Saccharomyces cerevisiae S288C: one gene and its partner. The gene in region 1 interacts genetically with each later gene. Each region holds a gene or a part of one and is shown on either strand. Other genes may lie near its edges.

What was found. Genes that interact genetically often act in the same process or in processes that back each other up.
Region 2: mutations in SND2 (region 1) and RRF1 together harm fitness more than expected from each alone (negative genetic interaction), as found in Saccharomyces cerevisiae (2 studies listed by BioGRID).

What each region holds. Positions count from the first base shown.
Region 1 is NC_001144.5:265,868-268,830, reverse strand, and holds SND2 (Snd2p), read left to right. Parts: upstream 1-1,912; coding exon 1,913-2,458; downstream 2,459-2,963. Other genes in the region: PET309 (Pet309p), read left to right, coding at 1-1,018; signal peptidase complex subunit SPC3, read right to left, coding at 1,108-1,662; PER33 (Per33p), read right to left, coding at 2,554-2,963. UniProt on the Saccharomyces cerevisiae protein: Functions in the SND pathway, a SRP (signal recognition particle) and GET (guided entry of tail-anchored proteins) independent pathway for targeting a broad range of substrate proteins to the endoplasmic reticulum.
Region 2 is NC_001140.6:182,353-185,258, forward strand, and holds RRF1 (Rrf1p), read left to right. Parts: upstream 1-1,713; coding exon 1,714-2,406; downstream 2,407-2,906. Other genes in the region: PUT2 (1-pyrroline-5-carboxylate dehydrogenase), read left to right, coding at 1-1,352; MSC7 (meiotic recombination directing protein), read right to left, coding at 2,523-2,906. UniProt on the Saccharomyces cerevisiae protein: Necessary for protein synthesis in mitochondria. Functions as a ribosome recycling factor in mitochondria.

The DNA.
Region 1 (2,963 bases):
GGTACCAGCGAATTCCAAAATTTTATATTATATATTGAAGGCCGTTGCCAAAAAAAGCCTACAAAATAATGAGGAAATCAAGGAAACGATTAATATGGTAGAAGACATCATGGAAAATGCTGCCAATGGAACTCTCGACGTTACGTATAACAAACTGCATCCCTCGGTCATGGCATGGCCAATGAGAATGATTGTGAAACATGATAGCCCACAGCGGGCTTTAGAGTTATACAACCGGTACAATGAGCTTTTCTTCAAAAAGCATGATTGGATATCAAATAATAATAAATTTGTGATGATGAGATCATTGTTGGTATTACTAGCTCAAATTGAACAATGGAAAGATTTCGAAACACTTTTCGCTAAATACATGGATCGTATTGAAAACATTGAAAACTTGCCATCATCTACAACGCCAAATATTAAACTAAGAAGCATATTCAGCGGATTGTTCCCTTATAAAGTAAGTCAGTTGATTGCAATGAATAAAATCGATGAGCTGCCATTACTGTGGAAGAAATTGCGAGAAAAAGGTTTTATTTTAGATAATATATCGTGGAACAGCGCTGTAGAAGCGTTATTTAAGGATCCAAGAACCCTTTCGTATGGTATGAAAATCGTTGATGACACACTAATTCATGGGTATAATTTGATCCATAAATTTAGACTATTAACGAAACTATCCGAGGATAAGACGCAGTCCAGTGATAAATCTTGGCCAACATTAAAAATGAAGGAAAAAGAGCCCAATAAATTTCAGCCCAGACTATACTTAAAAAGCGATACATATAACAGTATAATGAGGCAGTTAGACACATATTTGGACGGTATTGATGATTTAAAAACTTTAGAAGATCAGGTACGTGACTTCATATCAAATTACAAGTATTTTATGAAAGATTACTTATTAATGCCAAGAAGCAAGATCAATAAATGGGAACAGATTGAAATGAGACATCTTTCATATTTTAAAGAACTGAGGAAATCTAAGAGAGTATTACCTGTGAGTAAATTCTAGAAATGCATATATCATATTGTATAATCAACTGCATATATATCAAAAAATCATGTAAATAATTAACAAAAATTGAGAGAGCAAAGACTAGTCTAAACTTTGTTTTTATTTTCCACGGTCAGTGTATAGTTGCCTACAGTTTCACCGTAAGTTAGCAAACCTACCCATGGTTGAACATTCCAGTGTAACTTGAAAACCAAATCCTTGCCTTCGAATTTTCCATCTTCAATATCCCAGATAGAATACTTGGATCTTAGATCGTTCACATCAATCACAGCATCATCCTTGCTTTTTATGATCTTATCCCAAAATGTTACCTCACTTGTTATTTTTTCAGTACTGTTATACTCAGCAGTTAGATAGACAAAAACTTGCTTTGTATTCCAATTGAATAGGGGAGTGAGATCTGTATTTAGATCAAATTTAATTTTCATATTTTCCTTTGCCTTGCCTCTCTGTGAGCCAAAATATCTACTTGTTCTAACATTTATTAAAGTTTTGACGTTATCGATATTACTAGGTACTGAGAACGCGTTATTATTGATTAATTGATAGTATGAGGATGCCATGATGAATACAACCATTACAATTCCCATTGAAAAGGCCTGGTTCGATACATTCTGGAATCTTTGGACAAAGGAGAACATTGTTCTGGAGAAGTGCGGCAATGCTAGCTAGCTTTGTGGGTCTTTGTCTCAGTGGAACTTAATAGGCTTAACAATCAACTTTTTTCTCCACGTCTACCGACTGTCATGAAATTAGTCGACCTTCGTTCTGCGCCTTTGAAATGAAAAATTTCAACGTAATTAAAAAAAGATAATAGATGAAAAAAAGGTAGTATTCACGTGTGGCTTCAAGAAGACACCAAAGGCAGTGGTCTAAGTTTGTGTTGGTAGAATGGCTGGCAAAGCAGGGAGGAAACAGGCTAGTTCAAATGCAAAAATAATTCAGGGCTTATACAAGCAAGTCTCTTTGTTTTTAGGAATGGCTATCGTACGTCTATTCATTTCACGTAAGGTTACAATTGGCCAATGGATTAAGCTGGTGGCTTTGAACGTTCCTATGTTCGTTGCTCTGTATATCATTGTGCTATCCGGTAAGCCCAAATATGATGGCAATCGCGTAGTAAAACAAGGTATAGACTTGAACGACAATACAAATTTGATATCATATTTTTTTGATTTGATATATCTATCACTTTTTGGTAACATTGGTATTATAGCTTTCAGGACATTCAAATTTTGGTGGTGTCTACTATTGTGCCCCATCTATGCTGGTTACAAGTTATATGGCCTCAAAAACATGTTCATGCCTGGCGCTCAACAAACTCAGGCAGATAATCGCTCAAAAAATGCTAATGAGGGACAATCCAAATCCAAAAGGCAGATGAAAAGGGAGAGGAGGGGTGAAACTGACTCTAAAATTAAGTACAAGTATCGTTAAACAAAGCTTTTCAAACGTTTTTGAAATTTTTTGCTTTCTATAGAGGAGTGTGAGTATATACAAAATAATATTTAGATATACTTAAAATGAGCATGCTACACAGGTATCTTCCAAAACACTGTCATAACGAAATTCTTATAGCCGTTCCATAAACGGGAACAATATGGGGGCAAAGTACGGCTGACATATGCATCCAACCTAAGGACATATTGTTTAAATATCTGCCTCATAGATTCACTTTGTAGGTACCTTAATTTGAAAAACCATACATAGGTTAGTCCTGCCAACATTGTACCCACTACCTCAAACGACACGTTTGCTCTTCTTACCAACAACAAGAAAAAATTGAAGGGCACTAAGAAGAGGCCCACACGTAGGCCGCAGATAATCTCAAATACTTGCGCCATCTGTAAGAAAAATCCATTGTAGTTTTGGATGAATACCGTTATTTTGGAGTTCAACAAATTTTTCAAATTAAGTGGTATCAAAGGCAAAAATGGCAAAA
Region 2 (2,906 bases), on another chromosome or scaffold:
CAATTTTTTTGAAAGCCGCTGACTTAATTTCCACCAAGTATCGTTATGACATGTTAGCTGCTACAATGCTGGGCCAGGGAAAAAATGTGTATCAGGCAGAAATCGACTGTATCACGGAATTATCTGACTTTTTTAGATACTATGTCAAGTATGCATCAGACTTGTATGCTCAACAACCCGTAGAGTCAGCGGATGGTACTTGGAATAAAGCTGAATACAGACCTTTAGAGGGATTTGTGTATGCTGTTTCACCATTCAACTTTACTGCTATTGCTGCAAACTTGATTGGGGCTCCAGCTTTGATGGGTAATACAGTTGTCTGGAAACCTTCACAAACCGCTGCCCTTTCAAATTACTTATTGATGACTGTTTTGGAAGAAGCGGGATTGCCAAAGGGTGTCATAAATTTCATTCCAGGTGATCCAGTTCAAGTTACTGACCAGGTATTAGCTGATAAAGATTTTGGTGCCTTGCATTTTACCGGTTCTACAAATGTCTTTAAGAGTTTGTATGGCAAAATACAAAGTGGCGTTGTTGAAGGGAAGTACAGAGATTACCCCCGTATTATTGGTGAGACAGGTGGTAAAAATTTCCATCTAGTTCACCCAAGTGCAAATATATCACATGCAGTACTCTCTACTATTAGAGGCACTTTCGAGTTCCAAGGCCAAAAGTGCTCTGCCGCTTCCAGGTTATATCTTCCAGAGTCAAAAAGTGAAGAATTCTTATCCGATATGTTTGGCATATTGCAGTCACAGAATGTTGTCCCAATGAACACATCCGCAAGTCCAATTTCTGGTGGGAATTTGCGGGGATTTATGGGTCCTGTCATCCATGAACAAAGTTTCGACAAATTAGTTAAAGTAATTGAAGATGCAAAGAAAGACCCCGAGTTGGAAATTCTTTACGGTGGACAATACGATAAAAGCCAAGGTTGGTTTGTCGGACCCACAGTCATAAAAGCCAAGAGACCAGATCATCCATATATGTCAACAGAATTTTTTGGCCCTATATTAACTGTTTACGAGTATCCAGATACTGAATTTAATGAAATCTGTGATATTATCGATAATACGAGTCAATACGCCTTAACTGGTGCTATTTTTGCCAAAGATCGTAAAGCAATTGAATACGCAGATGAGAAGTTGAAGTTTAGCGCAGGAAATTTCTACATAAATGATAAGTGTACTGGTGCCGTTGTTTCTCAGCAATGGTTTGGTGGCGCAAGAATGAGTGGTACCGACGATAAGGCTGGTGGTCCAAACATTTTAAGCAGATTTGTCAGTATTAGAAACACAAAGGAGAACTTCTACGAGTTGACTGATTTCAAATATCCATCGAATTATGAATAAAAAAATTTTTGTGGAATAGAACCGCGAATGCAGTCACTTCATCCATCAACTCATGTAAATGTTAGATTATCGAAAAAAGGGTTTTGATTACTTCATTAGGTTTTTTTAGTTTTACAATTTTAATTTATCTAGGTAAATAGTTTAAAAATATTCATTGAACCAACCGTCCAAATTCCCGTTCTATATTCTGTCATGACTTACTTATTCACGTTGCTATTTATTCGCCGCATATTCATTCTGTTTTTGGCATAAGGACCCGTCCGGAAACAGAACATCAATTTATTAAATACGTCCATTCGTAAGCTTAAAGATGGAAACTTTGGCGAGCAGTCCCTGACAAGAAAAATAACAGCAAGAAATAATGATTTTAACCACAGCTAGATTAAATTGTAGACCAGTCACCGTTCCTCGTCTATTTAATCGTTCTTTTAGTCAATCTTTCATAATTTTGAAGAAAAAAAGTTCTACCCCTACTGAGAAAGTCGAAGAAGATGAAATTGACGTGAATGAACTGCTGAAAAAGGCAGAAACTCAATTCAAAAAAACTTTAGAAATTCAAAAACAGAAAATGAATGAGATAAAACAGGGAAATTTTAATCCTAAGGTATTCAATAGTTTAGTGTTCAAAAATAACAGAAAGTTTACAGATATTGCTACCACATCCTTGAAAGGTAAAAATGCACTTTTAATAACAGTTTTCGACCCCAAAGATGTGAAAACTGTGATCAGTGGGGTGCTTGCTGCGAACCTGAATTTAACTCCTGAAAGGGTCCCAAATAACGATTTGCAATTGAAAGTTTCGTTACCACCACCAACTACAGAATCCCGGTTAAAAGTAGCTAAAGACTTAAAGAGAGTATTTGAAGAATATAAGCAGTCATCGCTAAAAGACTCATTAGGAACTATCAGAGGCAGTATTCTAAAGGAATTCAAAAGTTTCAAAAAGGATGATGCCGTTCGAAAAGCTGAGAGGGATTTGGAAAAACTGCATAAGGATTACGTGAACAAGCTTCATGACCAATTCCAGAAAGTTGAAAAAAGCATTGTAAAATGAGGAATTTCGTAACGTGTATAGAATCAAAAAATCATAAATCTTGTACATAAAAAGTTCATTTTATATAATAATAAATACCAAATTATTGATAAGTTTGTTGCTTCCTCTAAAGTAAACTAGCTGGCTTCTTTAGCTAAAGAGAACAGTGACTTTATTCTTTGCCATGTGGAATTTGTATAAGCTCCTACGATGAAACTCTTTACAAAATTCCAAGCCTTAGCATTGTTACGAATAGGGTAGTCTAATGGTTTTGGAATTTGAGTGGAGACAAAAGGCAAAGTATCAAAACAGACACTTTTGGCATTGCACAAACCCAAAAGACCTTCTTCACCACCAAATTTACCGTAACCTGAACCATTGATACCACCAAATGGTAATTGACAAACATAGAATGTAGCAAAATCATTAATGGCTACATTACCAGTTTGTAGGCTATTTGCGACGTAATTGCATTCCTTGATATCCGCACCAAACACAGAACCACCTAGACCAAATGGCGC